Linked DNA regions of Xenopus tropicalis. The protein of the gene in region 1 interacts with the protein of each later gene in a pairwise test. Links are inferred from orthologs where the notes say so. Each region holds a gene or a part of one and is shown in the gene's direction. Other genes may lie near its edges.

Region 1 (3,500 bases):
ATGTGGACTCTCTGTTCTGTATAACATAGTTCTCTCACGGGCCAGTTATTTTTAAAGGGAAACTACACTACTACAATGTTGCTTGCACCATCAGAGGAAAGTTCATCTGCAGCTTTTTTTGTAGTCATCAGGGCAGATGTTCCCAGGTATAGTGCTTTGCACACAAATCAACAAGGAATGACGCAATAGTCCTGCCACCACGTGCTGCCCGCTGAAAGTGCATCGGGCGATTCCCGAGGTGTTAAACCCGGTAGTCTCTCTTGCTGACCTTTGGGTGGAGCTGTCGGGCAGTAAAGCTTAAGTCTCATCAGAACTTAGCTACTCATCTGCTGTATCTGCTGCAGGTACAAAAGCTGGGCCCAGTTACCAAATTACCCAGCCATCTTTCATTTAATTGCAGTTAGAGGCATTCAACCTATGGCTAATAGTGATAAGGCGCCTAATGATTTGTTTAAGCATTTTCTTACTTGAGTTGTTAGTAAAGTTTATTCTGGGGAAAAGCTAAAACTACTTTCTTTCTGATGGTATTTTGGACATAATGTCACCCTAACCTACATCTGGAGAATCCTTATTGTCTGCATAGTCCCATCAGCAACATGTTCTATATATAGGTCAGGCTGCCTTATTTACAACTATATGTGTTTCCAAAGAGCAGAGATTTCCTTTAGCAGGAAATTCAGTAAACTAAATTTTATAGAATTGAATCTGTAGAACTCTTTTACTTATGCGTTTCCCACAAACCAATGCAATTACTGCCATTTCATTCTTTGTTTTATTGCAAAACCCCAAAGCTCTTTACTGGCACTTCCACTTGTTATGGCCTCTAAGGAGCGCAAATGCATGGACCTAAATAGCTGCTTGATAATCAGTCTTGTCATATAAAAGACACATCGATATCAAAGAAAATATCATGGGGAGGGAGAGCTGAATGGCATATTTCAAGGTTAAAAGAAGGCCTGTTTCACTGTGCACACGTCTATTTAAGGCTGTTTATCTTATTTATACATAAATACAATATGAATATGAGATCTAATTTAATATAAAATGAATGAGATCTAATATCCAGAAACCCATTATCCAGAAAGGACCTAAACAGTACTGCCATCTTCCAATGTTCCATGGAGCAGTTTAAGGGAAATATGCATATATATCCTAATGGTTCCATTTTTTCCTCTGTAATAGGAATGATGGTAACTAAGCTACCATAAAAATATATATTGGTGGCAAAGTAACTCTTTTGGTTTTTTACATTTTTATACTTCTAGATATGGTATCTATTAGCTGGAGTGCTCAGAACCTGGGGTTTCCGGATAAGGGGTTTTATTGAAATTTAGATCAACATACCTTGAGTCTTCTAAAACCATGAAATTAACCCAATAGGATTGTTTTGCCACCAATATGGACCCATGCAGCTTAGTTACCATGAAATGTGAATAAATGTTTACATTGGACTGTATGGGGGACGGCTTTTCTGTAATTCAGGGCTTTCTGGATATTGGGTTGGTTTCTGGATAAGAGATCTCATACCTGTAATGTATAAATATAAAGGACTCTGTCCTATCATTCACCTTAATGTATTTCTGTGAACATATAGTGTCCATCATAATTAGCATTCAAGCGGTTTCTCTCCGTATTTATCCACTGCTTTTGGTCCCCTTAGGACTAGTCTGAACCACATTTTAGGAAATTATAGCCTAATTGATGTTTCTAGTGAATGGATTACCTTAAAAAAGCACCCAGTGCCAGAGGCATTAATACAGTAACATTCATTCACTGTAAGCACTGACACAGTAACACTAAAAAATACGTTTTTGTAATGAAAATATAATGTAGTTTTGCCCTGCACTCGTAACAGTGGTGTGTTTGAAACCCTACTATAGTTTATATGGAGAAAAGGAGATAACCAACAGGCTCTGTAGTATACACTTTAATTATACTACTGTTATCTGCTGTGTATCCTGTATCTGAATGGCTGCCCCCATTGCTTACACAGCAACTGTGTAGTAATAACACCCCTGTTATACATTATATTAGCATTCCTAGTGCAACCAACTGCTCAATCCAGGACCCACAGTTCTAGTCAGTTGTGTCTGGCATGAACACGTTTTAGGGAGACAGAGCTCAATAATAAAACAGCACCAGAGTATTAAAGTAGAACGTTGGACATTTGCAGCAGGTTCCGATACCGAGAGTAACCAATCAGATTGCTTTCACTGGTGATTAGAAGATGCTGCTTTGGTTGATAACAGGCTACTAAAACTTTTCCCAACTTTGCAGCTATTAACAGTTCCTATGTAATTCTCGTAGGTTTGCCAGAAATCTGGTGAAATATCATTGCTGAAGCAACAGTTGAAGGACTCCCAGGCTGAGCTGGCACAGAAATCTAATGAGATACTGCTGCTTCGGGCTCAGGTGCGAGAGGCTCGATCCGACCTCCAGATCAGTGAAGAGCAGGTACAGGAGCTGCAGGACACGGCGCACACCAAGACACTGGAGCTGGAGGTGTGCGAGAATGAACTCCAACGCAAAAAGAATGAGGCAGAGTTGTTGCGGGAGAAAGCCAGCAAGTTAGACCAGGAAGTAGCCGGCCTAAGGGAAGCAGCAGTAGCCAACCTGCGCCATGGACTATGCCTTTGCCATGAAAAGGAGGACCCTTTCTTATTATATGAAAGTGACGAGGCCAAAGCGCAGCGGCAGAACGCAGACAACCTGCAGGGCTTGCAGCAGTATGTGGAGCGTCTCAGGGAAGCCCTAACAAGCGAACGCAGGAGATATCAGGAGCAAGCTGACAGCTTTGAAGATGAGCGGCGAATATGGCAAGAGGAAAAAGAGAAGGTGATCCGTTATCAAAAACAGCTGCAGCATAACTATATCCAGATGTACCAGCAGAACCGCGAGCTGGAGAGGGACATTAAGCAGCTCTCCTTAGAACTGGAGGCAAGAGAACTGGACGAGTTTGACTTGCACGGGGCCGAAATCCAGTTTGAGGAAATCACAGCTACAGAAATCTGAAGCCAGTGAATATGCAGAGCTACCACAAATGCCTTTATACACGCCGACAACATTCCAGCCAATGGCTTTGCCAAAACACAGCTACTAAACACTCACACAAGCTCTTCTTCATTGTCACTCAGACTTACAGTGGATAAACCATACTCAGTGTTTTGACAGGGAACCATAGGTTTATGGACTGCACATTAACACTACATGCAACGAGATTTCTAATTGGCAGATCTTGAACACTCATACAAAGTATAGTATTAAGGAGCCATATGTATATATATATATATATACTGTATACCTGCTCACAAGTTATACTATATGGACCAAAGGAACTTGTGTCATTGAATAAGAAATGTATGATACTATGTACAGCACTTATGTATGTGTTTGCATAAAAACCTGCTCCCTTGTCATGGCGTGTAACAGAATTTGAGGTACTGTCATGGAGCACAAAGGTGCCATTATGTTAAGTCTGTTCAGTACTTTTCAGTATTCCT
Region 2 (4,298 bases), on another chromosome or scaffold:
AGCGTTTACCATTTCCTTATTCAAATGTAGCGCCTTCTCTATAACAATTAACATACAAAGCTATATGGCCTCTTATGCCTCTAAAGCCTTCATGAACTTGATGATTTTTGTGGTAAACTTTTTATTTTAAATGACACTGTTTACATAGCAAATAATTCACTCTGTCATTTAAAATTTTATTTTTAAACCAACATTTAATTAGTTGTAATATTGGTGTGTAGGTGCCATCTCAGTGCATTGTGCCTGAGTCTGAGCTTTCTGAAGGAGCCAGCGCTACATATTAGAACTGCTTTCAGATAACCTATTGTTTCTCCTGCTCCCATGCAACTAGAGTCTTTCAGAAGAAGCCAGCGCTACACATTAGAACTGCTTTCAGGTAACCTATTGTTTCTCCTACTCCCATGTAACTGGAGAACTTGGATTTCTTACTATTGAGTGCTATTCTGATACCTACTGGGAGCTGCCATCTTGCTCCCTTCCCATTGTTCTGCTGACCAGCTGCTAGGAGGGGGGGATATCACTCCAACTTACAGCACAGCAGTATAGTGTGGCTGAAGTTTATCAGAGCACAGGTCACATGGCTGTGGTACCCTGGGAAATGAAGAATATGGCTAGCCCCATGTGAAATTTCAAAATTAAATATAAACAATCTGTTTTTGAAAAACGGATTCCAATGCAGGATTCTGCTGGAGAAGCTCTATTAACTAATGTGTTTTGAAAAAAAACATGTTTTCCCATGACAGTATTCCTTTAATAAAATCCAGCTCAAGGTAAAGTACCTGCTAGCTAGATGTAAGGGGGTGGGGGCTTTGAAGGGTATATTTATATCCTCATATTAATATGCACTTCATATAAATATGCTTACACACAAACTGACTGCCCTTATGAATAGAGCACTGTATTGATGGGGTACACTCAGGTCTCTCTGCTACTTGTGTTGGTACTGTAATTATATGCTACAGCAGTGCAATTGCAAACGCCATAGCGGCTGCTGTGAGATGCCATAGACAGTGGGGGGGGGGGGTTGTTTGGACCCCTGTGATCTTGATATTTCAAGGCCTATTTTCATTTTAACCTGGGTAGAAAAAAATGTTTACTTTAGCACAAGCTTTATAGCACTTTAGGACAACAATTTCGCCTGGACTTTCACTGATTTACTTCCTAAATGATCTCCCATGCCCCACAGGCAAAGGCTTTCTGTTTGCCCATCCATGGCATTTCACTGGTACTTTCTATTTCCACTCCACCTACTAACAGTTTCTCAAAACATAACCAACTTCATCTTCCAGGCCAAGTGTGGCTCTCCATGGAATCCTATTACTGCGCGGCCACAACTAGCTCTCCTGCCCCCAATCATCACTTTGTAGGACCTCCCTTCAGAGCCGCTAACATACAGCTCACGTTGATTGGTGAGACGCCTGTCACATGACCAGGCCCGCCCAAAGAGCAAGTCTGAGAAAAGACCGCGGGGGAAGAAACATGATGGTGAGAGCGGCGGTGTTACCGAGTGTGTGGGACACGGGCTGTGGGGATGTGTGGCCGTGTAAAATCCCCACAATATATGCTTAGGAAAGCGCACAGAACAAGTTTGTCCATTAGGAACAATCGCATTTATAAACACAGCTTTCCTTATGGAAATGGAAACTTAGCACCTGGTGCAGGAGGTTAATGCCGGCAGTACCTGCGCCTGTTTGTCAGTGATTGGTACTTGAGGATAACATGTCTGCAAGAATTTATAGAATGTACATTTACAAGAATGTAAAATTTGATTTTGAACATAGGAATGAAGTTTGCCCTTGAATAAGTAAAAGGCTTTCAGAGTTATTAATCTACAAGTTTTCCAGAAACCACTTCCAGTGTAATTAGTAAATGTAATCAAAGTTTTAGTAAGTGCCCTAGTTACCCAGTGTGTCTCTTTATATAATTATATTACACATTAGATGCACCCCAATTCTACATTTAGGGTTCCCACATTATGATGTACTTGGAGCCTAGGAGAAAGCAAGTATGGGGTTCCTTATCCAGAGCCCATTATTAAGAAATGTCAGTATTATGGAAAGACCATCTTTCATAGATTCCATTTTAAACAAGTTTTTTTTTTTTTTTTTTAATCCTTTTTGTCTGTAATAATAATACAGTGCCTTGAACTTGATCCCAACTTGGGATCCCTATTGTAGGTGAACAATCCTGTTGGGTTTATTTAATGTTTAAGCTTTCTGGATAACAGGTCCCATTCCTGTATAATGTTCTGTGGTTGCTCGTACGCTGCCTGTGACTAGTTGTTAAAGCATAATGTGCATGAGTGAGAGCGGCCATTGTATAATGTACTGGGCTAACCAGTAGAAAGTAGTGTTTCTGTATATTGTGCTGGTGTTTTAGCCTGGTGTTGTCTATGAAATTAGTATATGTAAATATGGATTGGAGGCATTTTTCACCCATTTGCCATGCCCAAGAATTTCCCTATAATTGTTATAGGGAGCAGTATGTAAGTGTGTCTCATATTTTCTGCAATACCTTTTAGAGTTGTAGAGGAATTGTGGAACAAAAGATGCTTCATATAAATTCACATTAAGCCACTGGACACAGACAGCCCTGAATAAAATAGTACTGAATGGTGATGTTGGCACAGCTAGCATATCTAATGTTATACCTATTTGCCTATTAAATTGATTTCTGATCGCGCTTTTTAAGATGACAATATTTGGCAAGAGTCGCTTGTTTGGTGAGTTTGCCAGGCTCCTTGGGACAAACGATCAGGTTGCAATCACAGGAATAGGACCGTTGAAGCAAGGACCCCAATGCAGTCCCTGTTTCAAAGGAAAATTCAAACCTGCTCGATTGACACCTGGGCAATTTTCGCCACCTTTAGTGTCTCTGACATTTTAAACAGGGACTTGTCAAATATTTGACAATAAGACCTGCATCTTTAGGCCATCATATTTATACATTACGCTAATGGCACACAGGGTTGTGCAGAAATTCATTTCTCATTCATACAAGTGGTAAAAAATTCCCTTCCTTTTCCCTGTGTCTCAGCCCCTGATGGGATATTACATTGTAAAGGGAACATTTCCATTCTTCTAGCATGTTGCAAGTGGAAGTTATCCGTGCACCTTTCCAAATAACAATCTGGTTGCTGGCCTGGTAATCAAAAAGCAGATTGGGGCTGGAGGATATATTTTTTTTTTTTTAATTTGCTAATTTTTATGGCAATCTCCTATTTATCATTCTTTCTGACATTTGCACATGCCTGTCTGCTCTGGCCAGTGACAGCTTTAATATCCAACTGGAGAGAGAACAAACAAAAAAAGGTGAACTTTACCATTTTTTCATTGCATTTAATTTTTGTTTGTTCACCAAGCACCTACAGATGTATATCTTTCTGTCTAAGACCTAAGTCCTGCCGCACATGGAGTGTATGATCCACCAGCAGAGAAGTTTAAAATCGTGGCTTTTCAGTCTGTTATTTAATGAAATGAAATTGGTCACCTCGGCCACCTTTGTCACCATCTGGAAACCATCAGTGGAGAATCCGCCAAGTGTGCCGTAGGCCAAAAACCATTGTGTACTGAACAGTTTACCTCTTGTACTCTAAAGCCCAATTTCACCTTCAGTGGCTGCACCCATGGTTACACAGCCGTATATATAAGTGGAGTAGAGCTTTTGAAGCAAAAGCAGGAATTCATTGATCTGATTTGACCTTAAACCTTTTAAATAAAAAGTTCATGTACTGTAGATTATTGTTTTCAGGGGTATGTCTTGTTACTGATTTGTTATTCTGTAAAGCAGAACCATCTTTTACTGACCGGTGTGCTTTCATTGTAGTCTGTATTTCATCAGCTGGCACAGCAAATGGAAGATGTATCTGGAGACAGAGGGGTGCTGAAAGAAGTGATTCGGCCCGGAAAAGGAGGGAAGGTTCCCTGTGATGCAACAGTAATACGTAAAAAGCTCCTGCAGTACCATATTTACATATAGAAACTGGCAAGCCCTTGGACATATTGCTATATAATAGATATATGCATTATACTATGATATTGGTTGTTTCTGTTAAGGACGGTAAAGACCCTTTACAGTACAATTTCAATGAGCAGGACTTGTGCTGAACATACTTTTTTCCTATTATTTTAATAACAAAAATGTTTTTTATGATCTTTTAGATAATCAGATTCCCAGTGCACAGATAATCCCTCTGCATAATGGACATTTGTTTATCTGTGGTATGAGAATCTAATTATCTGTGATGTACACAATGTCATTTATCTCTGATGGCCCTGGCACTACCATAAAATGTCATC
Region 3 (4,220 bases), on another chromosome or scaffold:
CTGCTCTGGCTGCTTCTAAAGACTTCAGGTGCAACTTCCATGCTGTTTAATAGTGGGGTAAGAAAAAGATTCCAGTGCAAATAACTGACATCAGGTGACTGGGCCATTACTGCACGAATTGGCGTAAAAAATTCCAGATGAGCTGACATTTCTTTTGTTCGTGTATATAGCCCCAAGCCCCTATAGTTTTCATGCAACATCTTTCATACAGTACCAGCACTTTTCCTTTCCCTACAACTTTGCATTCACCATCTTGGATTGCCACCACCAGTGTGACGCCTGTGTAGGTTTAATGCATGAACAGTGCAATTCCTCTGGGAACCATTTACACAATGTACATACTGTATAAACCTACTCCCTGCATAGCAAGGTGACACAGCTTGTATTTACTAACTTCATCCTAGAAAAAAACAACATATAATGTGAATAAGTTGCAGTTTAAATGTCTGCAAATACCTGTCTCTCCTACTTTTATGAATTGGATTCAGCCTTTTACGTGGACAAATATTTACAGGTACAGCGAAGGCTTTCTTGGAACCCATTTCCCTAAAACAACACATATATTGTGGCATAAAGATCCTGGCCATGGTAGGTGCCACAGTAGCTCAATGCCAGTAGTGTAATTACAGGCAACCAAGGACATTTGGAGCTTACATTGCTTTAAATGCTTTAAAGTGCACTTTAACATTTTTCACAATTCTCTTTTCATAAATTTAGTGAAAACATAATCGGTGCTGACATTTTCTCTGGTCCTGCATGCACAACCTTTCCTCCAGCTAGCTGTACAGTTGTCTGGGGCAGAGTAATATATCTGCCATTTAAAGAACAAAAATAAATAGTGCTTAGTGCTTTTTCCCTGCTCTAACATGTATTGGGAGGGCTCTGACGATGTCGGACTGCTTACTGCGCAGTTTCAGCCCTTCTAGCTGGGTGCATGGGCACCTAAACACAAAAGACAAGACATTTAAACGTGCATGTGAAATCTGTCTGCATTCGGCTGCTGTAGACCACCAATAACGTGTTATTACTTTGCTCCCTGGCACAAGAGATAGAACTATTTCCGATCAAACATTGATAACGAAGGCTCTGCTTGCAGAAGACACTGCAGGTAATTACAACAATATTAAAAAATGTTTTTATTTTTGTGTTTCTTGACAAAAGCAGGCGGGGCGTGCAGCTAAAACAAACTGTGAGCAGATATATGGCTGCCCTGGCATACATAACCGCGCGTTACTAGCTGCTGAGGCAGCGTACCAGCAACGTGCTCTACTGTAACACAGAACCACTGAACGTTGTTTAGCACAAGTGACGCTTACGCACTGACGCTCCCATACGCTCCAGTTGTGGCGTCACAGTCTCATCTCGCGAGAGTGTGAGGTATCTCTGGGAGAGCAGGTTTGCCGGAACCGAGGAGCTGGATATTTGAATGGCGTTGTGGGACATTTAGCAGCCATTTAGAAGTGCGTCCTGTGTTAAGAAAAGTGGGCTACGTCGGTATGTGAGTGTATGTTTCCCTTCAGCATTCTTATACCCAGGAAGATTTCTGTATTTTTACAACAGGCCATGGGCAATAAGAATTACTTTCTCTCTAGCTGAAGAGTATTTTAGATGAATATATCAATTGCACTGAATAAAACCATATTAGTTTTGTTAAGAAAACTGCAGTTTAATTTCATTTCTAACGTAACCTTCAGAGGGAGGACACAGTCCTATCTAGTAGGTAAAGCTGGCCGTACATTGAAAGATCCACTCGTTTAGTAAGGTTGCTAAATGAGTGGATCTTTGATATTGTCCACCTTGAGGTTGATCACAGCAAGCCAATGTGGTCAGCAGCAACGAGCCAATGCAGTCATTAACCAGATGAGATTTTTAAACTTGTCCAATCAATATCTGACCAAAAATCAGGTCAGCCTGTTGGCGGGCCCCATAGACTGGTACATAAGTTGCGGCTCAGACTGAAGAAGCTGAATCAGCTAAAATCTGCTCCATATGGCCACCTTTATTAAAATGGTGTGCTACGACATGAGGGCTTGTCCGCAGTATGACGTCTAACAAGCTGCTCTTACACAGGCTTATAATGATGTATGTATATCTTTATTTATAAAGCGCTACTTATGTACGCAGCGCTGTTCAGTAGAATACATTAATACAAACAGGGTGTTAATAAGATAATAATAGATAAATACAAAGTAAAACAATAAATACAGATAAATACAGCTGCAATAAGTTAAGAGTCGAGGACACAAGAGGAAGGAGGTCCCTGCCCCGTAGAGCTTACAATCTATATGGTAGGGTAACTTACAGACACAAATAGGCAAATATAAGTGCTGTAGGTCACTTATAATATATGAGGCACCATACATAGTATAACCAACTTTCTGTTGTTCCACACATTCAGCCCTAAAGCTAATATCACGCTAGGCTGTTTCTCTGCCTGTGCAGAAACACCCAGTCGGAGTGGTTATGATCGGAAATAACTTTCATGCTGTACATCCAATAACTCTTGTTCTCAAGGATAATTAAGAAAGATCCAAATGAGGACAGAAATGTTGGGCATAGGGTTGTAAAGAAATACATTCACACAGGTTTATTTACACATAAGAGAGTGCTGGTCCAGTTATTTCTTTTGTCAGTCAGAAACAAGGTTTAGTACGATATTCAGTGCATGTAAGTTGGGTTTGATGAGGTAAACGATTTTGGCAAAAGCCTTGGATATTGGTCTTCTTGTCAGTGGGCAAGGATAGGAAATTCTGATTGGATGCCTTTGAAGGTAGGTTAATTCTGAATTGTCAGATAGGGATAGATAGTGAATAAAGTACCCCCTATTGTAAAATATAGGGGTATTATATGTCACCAAAGAGTTCCATGACAATATAAAAGCACAAGGTCAAAGCCGAGTGCTTTTATACAGGTCATGGAACGCTGAGGTGACTTCTAATATCCTCATATTTTACAAGAGGGGGTACTGTATTATAATATACAAGTTTTAGTGAGTCATGTGCCAGAAATTACATCACTTAGCTCTGATTATAACTGATGACATCACTAAGCACCATTTATATGGATATAATTTACAGTTTGGTCCCATAGGGAACTGACCAAACTGTATATTATAATTCTATTGTTTCTACCTGCATATCTGACAATTCAGCTCTTAATGTTAGTGGAGTGGACTAACGATCTTTCCAGCAACCACTGGTAGCAGGAAAGATTGTTATTGTAACGTGTATGGCCACCTTAAGTCACAGTTTATTTAAAGGAGAAGGAAAGGCTAAAAAAAGCTGCAGGCATACCTTCAGTTCTCTCAATAGTGCCCTTAAGTCTTCCCATATTTCTCCTGTTCAGATGATCAGAAGCTTCATAGGGAAAAAAAAAAATTCTGAGCTCTGTAAACAAAATTCCCATAATGCCTCGCTCCTGCACCAAGACCAGCGTACATGCTCAGTGTGTAAGACTATGAGGAAGCTTCCTGCTGATTGTCTCAGATCACACATTCTTGTGGGTGGGGGGAGCAGGAGAGAGCTGCGTGTCTCTAGCACAGGAAAACAAAGAGACAACAAATCCTGTTTCTTTTGACAGAGAACTCAGTGCAGATGTTTCTGTGAGTGCTTATGGCTGTATTTACATAGACCTTTCTGATAAAGCTTACTTAGTTTTTACCTTTCCTTCTCCTTTAAAGACACATCTTAAATTTTCTCTTTTAATAGCAATACCTTATGCAAGTCAGCAAAGTTACTTTTTATTGTGAAAATCGAACTAAGAATGGGTAGTTTTAATCTGATTCTTACTTGTGTGTGCCTTGTCCCTCAAACCCAAATGCCCTATATGCAGCCCTTAAGTTTTCATTGTGTTGCATGTTTGAGCATTCAAGGTTGCAGGTTGATAAACTCCGATATTAATGAATTCTGTTGTGCTGCAAATGTTATGCAGCGTTTTAACATAAGGTATGCTAGAAGCATATAGTAAAGTATTACAAAATGATCATGGGCTGTCTTTTAAGTGATCTAATTTAATTATATTAATTTAATTAGGCCTTCAGAAATCACATAAAAATTGTTACATTTAATATATTTTAACATATTTATATATTCTTCTTTGGCAGAAAAAAATGAATCATCTTCAGCTTATTACTTTTACAAAAGCCCGGGACAAATCGGATTTTTGGGAGAATGGAGAGTGCAGTAATAAAAAAGATCTCAATGCATCCAATAAAAATATAA
Region 4 (4,063 bases), about 73 Mb from region 1:
TAGCTAACAGACTCCTGCCTCACTAATATGGCAGCCCCCTCAGAGGAACATGGGGGATCAGATAGGTAGAGCATCAAGCCAATACTTTTATAGCAAAATTATAAATAGCATTCAAAGACAATTTTATGATAGACATAAAAAAAGCTTAATTTCTGGTGTCAGTATGTCTTTAAAACTGCCCATGAAGTATGTCATGGACAACTTGAAACCGTACTAGCCACTAGGGGTTAACCTGCTGCACTCCGCAGGTTAACCCCTGCTGTGCTGGCTCAGCCATAACATAAGCAACTTTTCACTTGGTCTTCTGTTGGTCTGTGATGCTACAATCTTATTATTACTTTTTATAACCTTTTTTTTTCTATTTAATCCCTCTCCTACTCATATATCAGGCTCTCATTTAAACCACTCCCTGATTGCTAAGGTAATTTGGACCCTAGCAACCAGATAGCTGTTATAACTCCAAACCCGAGAGTTGCTGAAAAATCATTGAAATTATTAAAAAAACTACAAACAAAAAAATGAAGACCAACTGCAAATTGTCTCAGAATATTACTCTCTACATCATACTAGGGGGCCGATTCATTAAAACACAAGTTCAAATCCCGAATGGGAAAAATTCGGATTGGATACGATAATTTCTGAAGATTGCAAATATCACGAAAATGCTTGCGAAAAAATCGTATTAGTCACGATAATATCGTATTGGTGATCCGAAAGTCACGAAATTTTCTTACCGAACGATTGTAAACAGCGGCAGAACCTTTCCGAATTTTTCGCGCAAGTGTACAAAAAAGTCACGTAAGCGCGAAAAAATCGGCGAAAATGCGCTCGGAGCGATCGTTCGTGTCTTTTTAAATCTCCCCCTAAGAGTTAATTCAAGGTGAAAAAACTCATTTAGAAAATTTGTTGTAGGTCAAATATTGGAAGCAGAGGTTATAGTGGCAGCAAGTACTCTTAGTTTACAAGAAAACATTATTGCTCCATAGCACAAATGGGAGTTCTAAGAAGGGGGGGGGAAGGCATACTTTTTTTCAACAACTTGGTAATGCTGGCAGCTATTGACACAAGCAAGAACAGTGAGCACAGAACAAAATAAATGGTGGGAAACCATGTGTTACTATCAGCGTGTTTCAGTGTAATAACTATATGCACTGCTGCTCAAACAACGTTCTACTCGCTACTCCACCTAGTGGCAGCAGCCCTACCTTGCGTTTATATAGTGTCTGGCCGTGACGTCACAGTCTCATCTCGCGAGAGCGTGACGGAAGTCTCGGAAAGTAGGCCGACAGGAGCCCAGGAGCTAGGCATCGAAACGGCGATGCGGGATATTTAAACGGCGATGGGGGACATTTAAGAAGCGATCCGGGACTGCGGGCTGTGTTATGAAAGTCGGGGCTGTCTCGCCAAAAGCGGGACAGTTGGGAGGTAGATGCAGTTTAGTTAGAGGTTGAGTCTTACACCTTATATTCTTTGCTGTCTCTACCCTTTATATAACGTTAGAAACTCCAAGGTAAATGTGATTTGAGTTGGATGAAGTGATGTGGGCAGAAGTCATGTGAGATAATCCCTTGCTAAAAAGTCTGCTGTTTCATGTGCAAAGATAAATCCGCTCTCCCTAAAAAGCAACTTTGTAGCATTGTATCGAATTCCAAGCAAATCGCAGCTGGTATATGTCTTATTAGAATTATTAGCCTAGCAACCAGGGAGTAGTTTGTAAAGCAGAATGGGATATAAGCAGTGGATGACCCGAAAACAAAAAAACATATGAAAATGCAAGGGAAGCATTACAGTCACCCTGTTGTTTTGGTTGCTCCCACCCTACCAGCTGTTTGTGCCAATGCCACCCTGTGCCAGCAGCTTGACCCATTCTTGTTGGAAGGGGGGAGCAGGCAGGCCCGGACTGGCAATCTGTGGGTTCTGGCAAATGCCAGAGAGGCTGCTGTAAGATGCCATAGACACTCACTATTTATTGGGCTGGTGGTGGAGGGGTCATTTTGGGCCTCTGTGTACAGGTATGGGATCCCTTATCTGCAAACCCCTTATCCAGAAAGTTCTGAATTATGGAATGGCCATCTCCCATAGACTCCATTATAAGCCTATAATTCTAATTTTTAAAAAAGATTTCCTTGTTCTCTGTAATAATAAAACAGTAGCTTGTACTTGATCCCAACTAAGACATAATTACTCCTTATTGGGGGCAGAACAATATTTAAAAGATTTTTAACAGACTTAAGTTATGGAGAATTACGGAAAGATCCCTTATCCAGAAAACCCCAGGTCTCGAGCATTCTGGAAAACAGGTCCCATACCTGTACTTGATGTGCCCGAGCCTATTCTGAGTTTCACTACGGAGCTAGGTGCAGCTTCATATTTCCGGTGGCATTTCATTTGTTGCATTCATGAAAATGCATTTTCACATTAAAAGTAATGTTTAGTAAGTTCAGGATGATGAAAATATAAGGTGGCTGTCCAGCTGAAGGCTGCATACTGTACGGGGCACTCCCAGGAAAGGGCTGGATTGATTTATCATTTTGCTGTGTTCTTGTTCCACTACATCCATGTCCTAACTTATTTCTATAAAATCAGCATCAGGAGTCTTAGGGCTCTGGAACACGGGGAGATTAGTCGCCCGCGGCAAAACTCCCTGTTCGCGGGCGACTAATCTCCCCGTGTGCCAGAGCCCTTACAGTAAACATGGATGGGTAACAGCATAAACAGCAGGGTTAGAGGGCCCTGCTAACGAGAGCTGTTATGAGAGAATTTGCAGTTGGACTGCCTTACTTAACATTCATTATTTCTTATTGATTTAATATTTTGCTATACAGCTCACCAGTATTTAAACTATTATCTGTTCACACTGACTGAGTGACTAAAAGATGAATTCACTTTTTGGTTTGACATTTTCTGCTGGACTAGAAACACAAAAAGTGGAATAAGAAAATAAATTGAAATTGTGTAATGAGACCTTTTGCATTATCTCATAATAGCACTCCTGTGTATTAGTCATTGAGGTTTGTTATTTCTTTACTATAATTGTAATTACATAGCACTGACACATTCCTGCAGTGTGTTATAGAGATTATACATCAATCACTTCAGACCCTGCCCCAGTGAAATGTATAATCCAAGGTCCCTATCACATTTGTGCACACAAGGGTCCATTTAATCAAGAACCATGTATGTTTTTGGAATGCTGGGAGGAAACCCACACTAACACAGGAAGAATATAGAGTCTTTGCAGATAGTGCCCTGGCTTGGATCCAGCTTAGTACTGCAAGGCAGAATTCATATCCATGCTGTCCTGTTTGCTGAACTACTCTGATGTTTTTTAAAGGAGAAGGAAAGTTATTTTGGCATTTTACTGCCAATAGATTTGCCACAAAAGTGCCACCTAGAATGCTATATTTATTCTGTAGACAGCTTTATCATACCTGAGTAAAGAACCCTAGAAGCTTAAGGGTGGGGGGAGTGAGTTTTTTGAATTCTTAAGGGAGAGAGGAGAGAGCTGCACAGACTCTGGCCCCAGGAATGAAGGATTTTTCTTAAAGAAGGGAGTCAAATACCCTGAGAACATGTTTACAAAAAAGGAGACAACAAATCCTGTGTTTCTTTTAATAGATGACTCAGTGCAGCGTTTCTGTGAGTGCTTATGGCTGTATTTACTTTACCTTTCTGCTAATGCTTACCTTTCCTTCTCCTTTAATAGTCGCTTCTTGAGTGGAATTTTCAACTGCAAGCAAAATCTAACTATGGTGATTTTGTTTAGATTTATTTGCCTTATTTTTTGTTTTAGATAAGATTCTTATTTGAAAACTACGAAATGGTGCGATCATGTTCTGCTGCTGACTGCGTCAACCGTCAGACGGCACTAAGCAAGCGCAAGGGTATAACTTTCCATCGGTATGTATGTAACAACCTCACTGCCCTCACCGTGAGAAACCACCTACGCTGCTTCAAATGGAAGCTCCGTTCCTCTAATCTAAAGGGGTGGCCTCTGGTGCGCTGATTGTTTTTATGGGAAAAAAGAACATCCCCCATCTGCCTATAATCCCCTCTAATGTAC
Region 5 (4,213 bases), on another chromosome or scaffold:
ACGGAGACCAAGCTAAAATGGCAGCTGCTATCTTAAACAAAAGGCTTTTTACTCAGGTAGGTAAAGCTTTCTGCAGAATAATTTGGCGACTCTATTGGCAGTAAAATGCCAAAATGACTTTCCTTCTACTTTTAAGTTCTTTAAACGTCGTTTTGCTGCCCCTGGTAAACTTGAGGGCTGCTGCTGCCTGAGACGAGTTTCTCAATTCGCCTTATGGCCGCAGTGCCCCTGTATAATAAAATATGTTTTATGGTTGGACAGCTTTAGTCCACAATAACTATAATGACTATTATGTAGCTTGGCACCCCAAAAGCGACTATACATTTATAAAAGATTTCTAATAAGTACCATTTGTGAAAATAATTATAATATGGAGAATTGTTCATCTAATGAAAATACTAGCATAGATTAGGGGGCACATTTACTAACCCACGAACGGGCCGAATGCGTCCGATTGCGTTTTTTTCGTAATAATCGGTAATTTTGCGTTTTCTTTGCGATTTTTTCGGCGTCTTTACGATTTTTGCGTAAAAACGCTAGTTTTTCGTAGCCATTACGAAAGTTGCGCAAAGTCGCGATTTTTTTCGTAGCGTTAAAACTTGCGCGAAACGTCGCGCCTTTTAAGTTTTAACGCTACGAAAAAGGTGCGACTTTGCGCGCAAGTGTTAACGCTACGAAAAAATCGCGACTTTGCGCAACTTTCGTAATGGCTACGAAAAACTCGCGTTTTTCCGCAAAAATCGTAAAGACGCCGAAAAAATCGCAAAAAATACGAAAAAATCGCAAAAAATACGAAAAAAACACAAAATTACCAAAAAAGTCGCAAAATGTTCGTTTCCAATCGGAATTTTTCCAATTCGGATTCGAAATCGTGTCTTAGTAAATCAGCCCCTAGGTGTATACACAAACTTTATAAATATTGTGATGTCAACAGCTTGTGCACTGCTTCTTTTTCTTTTTTTGATGAACATCTTAATATCTACATTAATTTCAGGTAGCTAAAATATGAAAGTGTGTATCAGTGGCTTTTCGAGACAAGGCTCTGATGGCAGCAGGTACTGTTGGCAACAAGGACAAAGTCTTTCTTTCGTTCCCTGTCACAATTCAGAACTCCGACTAGAAAATATGAATGACTTCTGAGGAAACATCGGGGGCAGAGGCGGCAGCGAGCATGGCGGTCACCCAACACCAAAGAAAAGTCTTTTTTCTTTTGTTCTCTATCAAAAGTAGGAGGTGCGAGCATTGGAAAAAGAGATTGGGAGCTGACCAACCGCGGCTGCCTAGCAGCTTCCCACCGTGTAACACTGAGCCAGGCCGGCTCGTCACTCCCACAAGGCGGCGCGCCAATGTGTCAGTGCGTTACGTGTAGCGGCGATGCCAGTCTCGCGTGAGGAGAGATGTGGCGCTGGGAGTGTGTGTAGGACCGGAGCCTGCAGTAACAAGCTCTTCGGGAGATGTAAGTAGCGATACGGGACTAAGGGCTGTGTGAGGAACAGCGGGACTGTTGCAGTATGCACTTACTTCCAGACTTGGGGAGGCAGGGCGGGAGCTGGGGTACCAGCATGTTCTTTCCCATACATAGGTTTCTGTACCAGTGGTTTTGTGACAGAAGCTTTAGTCCCGGTAGAGCTGGATTGGTTAAGCTGGGGGTGAAGTTCAAACTCCCTCCTACCCTATTCAGTTCCCGGGACTAAAACTTCTGTGACAGAACAAGCAGAATACAAGCTGTGTAGGAGAAAGAACATGCTGGCACCCCGCTCCCGCCCTCCCTTCACAAGTGTGCAGCTCATTGACATGAACGGGCTCGGTAATCCTGCAGCGCTGCCGGTTCCCTTTAGGACCCAGAAGTCACCCACCCATTCGCCACCGATGCTGGCCCTTCCTTTGAGGGTCCCCAGGCAGCTGCTTCGCGCACTGAGCTGCTGTTACATGCGAATGATTGTATTCAGTGTGCGGGTCTGTAGCGCTGCATATTGTCTGTGTGAATACATTAGTGCGTGGGGGAAGCCTTTGTGCTATTGCCTTTACTTTCTGGCGTGTAAGTTCTTGCAATAGGGACTCTTTTTTTCAGTGCAGTTGTAAATGAATTCGATCCTCGCACAATAAATGAGTTGAAGGCGGGGATGGGGCGCAGATTTAGCGCACATTGATATTAAAGCTGAGTGGTTGTGATAAGTGCAAAGCAGGGCCAACCTGCAGCCCCACAGTTGTTTCCTATCATGCACCACCTCCAGCATGTGGCAGCTAGGTGTATGTGGGCTGGCATGGGCTGCTGGGAATTAGAGTTCAAAGGCTAAAGAAGGTTGGACATAACTGAGGGCTGCTGAATTTGGGCATTTTAGGTTTTATTGGTGGGGTGAATACCCTTCTATTATCACATATTCTCAGTATTAACACATTTGCTGCTGGATTCCAAGCTGTCTCTGGATGCAATGTCAGCACTAGAACTATTCATCAGAAGTGTTTATTCTGTTGAGCAGCAGCACACAACACTATGGGATTTATTTATATTGCTGTGTACGAGTATGTGGAGTGAAACATTACCGGTGATGTTGCTCATAGCAGCCAATCAGGTGCTTTGGTTTTCTAACTGTTGAAATCTGCTTGCTGATTGGTTGCCTTGGGCAATATCACTACTTTTTACACAGCAAGATAAATATACCCCTATGTGTGATGCCATGTGTTGGCAGGAGTGGTGTAAAGATCTATGTCACTGGACTCCAAGGAGGTGGAAGATGCCTCTCTCAAGGCATGAATCATTCCTCGCATTTGCCCGTCTGACTTAGTCTAGTCTGGGTAAGGTAGATGCAAGTAGGACTACTACCTGCTTGAATGTGTAAGGGTGACAATAAAGCTGGAAATGAATAGGTGTCTGGGTCCACTTTTTAATGGTCTGGGATAGGGTTCTTGGTCTTATTAAAAGCAAAGCTTAAAGCTTCAGTGAACAATGGCATTCTTGATCATTTCTTTCTTTATACTTTGTGGCAACAGTTTAGGCAAGGTCATTTTATGTCTAGTATATTAATACCCATCTTGCACAAATTGGTTTGCTGAGATGCAAGCGAAAAAGATTGATCTCAATCCAACTGATCACCTCTGGGTACAGCCCCCTCCTTGGCTCCTAATAAGTTTACAAATATAAGTACACATGCACTTACTGAAATTCTAGGCATGCCCAATATAGTTGATAAGCATTTACTCTTAAGGGTATGGCCATGCAAGGTGAATTGTTAGCCTGCATATAAAATAAATGCCACCCCTGCCATCTTAGTTACATTACCCAGGTGTCCTGCTTTAGATTTAGACTGAGATGTATATGCAGTAGGGTAAAAATTTCCATTTGTACTCTGCTGAGGTAGAAATACCTGATACTGCAGCCAGTATATAGCATTCCTAACATATTGGCACCATTCAGTGAATCAGGGTTTCCTTATCCAAAATTGACTTTAAGGCTTGGCCCTCCCTTCTAGTACTTCTAGTACTTCCCTGTGAGGCCATACCCACAGTTTGGCAACTACTGTTGCAGGATGTGTATCCACATGCATCTGAAATATTAATGTGCATTGCATTAAACACATAGGGTGTATGTTTGTTTGTTTTTTTCAATATGATTATAAATGCACAATATTTTGTCCATGCTTGTAGTTATGTATGTGTGACAGTAGTATGTATAAGTGATCACTTTATACAACAACTAGGATATTGCCATGCATACATTGTAAAATGTAACTGCAGATGGAGAAAAGGAATGTGTTTCAGGTAGCAGGTAAGCTTTTTTTCTGTTTTTAGTCTCCTGATACAGAGATTCTTTTTCAGTATTCTGTGTTCCACAGTCTCTCCATGTTCACTGGCCATTTGTGGTGTGTTTAGATTCAGTGGGTGGCAGCAGATGTTGAAATATACATAGGCTATAAATGTGCTTTCACAGACTGCATTGCAAACTTTGGTTTACAGCTGATTGAAAACAGAGCAAGGAGCATTAAAAATACAGTGCAATGCAGGTGCTTACGCACAGTCTTGTGAGTATGATGCTGTAGAACAACATGTGTTTATTTTAAGATCACTTTTTATGCAGTTGTTCTATAGATTTTGAACTCAATTGGCATAGCAGATGGCCGATATATTATTATGGTACAGTAGCTTTAAGGGGCATGGATCTCTACACATAAAAAAAAAAAAAAAATACACTACAGGTATTAAACATTATAGGACT

The links. The genes of interacting proteins can lie anywhere in the genome.
Region 2: the proteins of lzts2 (region 1) and fkbp6 interact in binary tests that used the Homo sapiens proteins (3 or more experiments, as listed by UniProt). The two-hybrid records come from large-scale screens. The link is inferred for Xenopus tropicalis from reciprocal best matches to the Homo sapiens genes LZTS2 and FKBP6.
Region 3: the proteins of lzts2 (region 1) and gpank1 interact in binary tests that used the Homo sapiens proteins (3 or more experiments, as listed by UniProt). The two-hybrid records come from large-scale screens. The link is inferred for Xenopus tropicalis from reciprocal best matches to the Homo sapiens genes LZTS2 and GPANK1.
Region 4: the proteins of lzts2 (region 1) and thap7 interact in binary tests that used the Homo sapiens proteins (3 or more experiments, as listed by UniProt). The two-hybrid records come from large-scale screens. The link is inferred for Xenopus tropicalis from reciprocal best matches to the Homo sapiens genes LZTS2 and THAP7.
Region 5: the proteins of lzts2 (region 1) and nck2 interact in binary tests that used the Homo sapiens proteins (3 or more experiments, as listed by UniProt). The two-hybrid records come from large-scale screens. The link is inferred for Xenopus tropicalis from reciprocal best matches to the Homo sapiens genes LZTS2 and NCK2.

Annotation. Positions count from the first base shown.
Region 1 is NC_030683.2:29,793,038-29,796,537, forward strand, and holds part of lzts2 (leucine zipper putative tumor suppressor 2 homolog), read left to right. Parts: intron 1-2,307; coding exon 2,308-3,012; 3' UTR 3,013-3,500. UniProt on the Homo sapiens protein: Negative regulator of katanin-mediated microtubule severing and release from the centrosome. Required for central spindle formation and the completion of cytokinesis.
Region 2 is NC_030678.2:41,855,481-41,859,778, reverse strand, and holds the start of fkbp6 (inactive peptidyl-prolyl cis-trans isomerase FKBP6), read left to right. Parts: upstream 1-1,498; 5' UTR 1,499-1,586; intron 1,587-3,825; coding exon of another isoform or gene 3,826-3,852; coding exon 3,853-3,943; intron 3,944-4,298. UniProt on the Homo sapiens protein: Has an essential role in spermatogenesis. It is required to repress transposable elements and prevent their mobilization, which is essential for the germline integrity.
Region 3 is NC_030684.2:74,607,847-74,612,066, reverse strand, and holds the start of gpank1 (G patch domain and ankyrin repeat-containing protein 1), read left to right. Parts: upstream 1-1,420; 5' UTR 1,421-1,494; exon of another isoform or gene 1,495-1,504; intron 1,505-4,102; 5' UTR 4,103-4,108; coding exon 4,109-4,220.
Region 4 is NC_030683.2:102,966,175-102,970,237, forward strand, and holds the start of thap7 (THAP domain-containing protein 7), read left to right. Parts: upstream 1-1,263; 5' UTR 1,264-1,425; intron 1,426-1,485; exon of another isoform or gene 1,486-1,510; intron 1,511-3,793; 5' UTR 3,794-3,820; coding exon 3,821-3,900; intron 3,901-4,063. UniProt on the Homo sapiens protein: Chromatin-associated, histone tail-binding protein that represses transcription via recruitment of HDAC3 and nuclear hormone receptor corepressors.
Region 5 is NC_030678.2:110,108,230-110,112,442, reverse strand, and holds the start of nck2 (cytoplasmic protein NCK2), read left to right. Parts: upstream 1-1,413; 5' UTR 1,414-1,456; intron 1,457-4,213. UniProt on the Homo sapiens protein: Adapter protein which associates with tyrosine-phosphorylated growth factor receptors or their cellular substrates. Maintains low levels of EIF2S1 phosphorylation by promoting its dephosphorylation by PP1.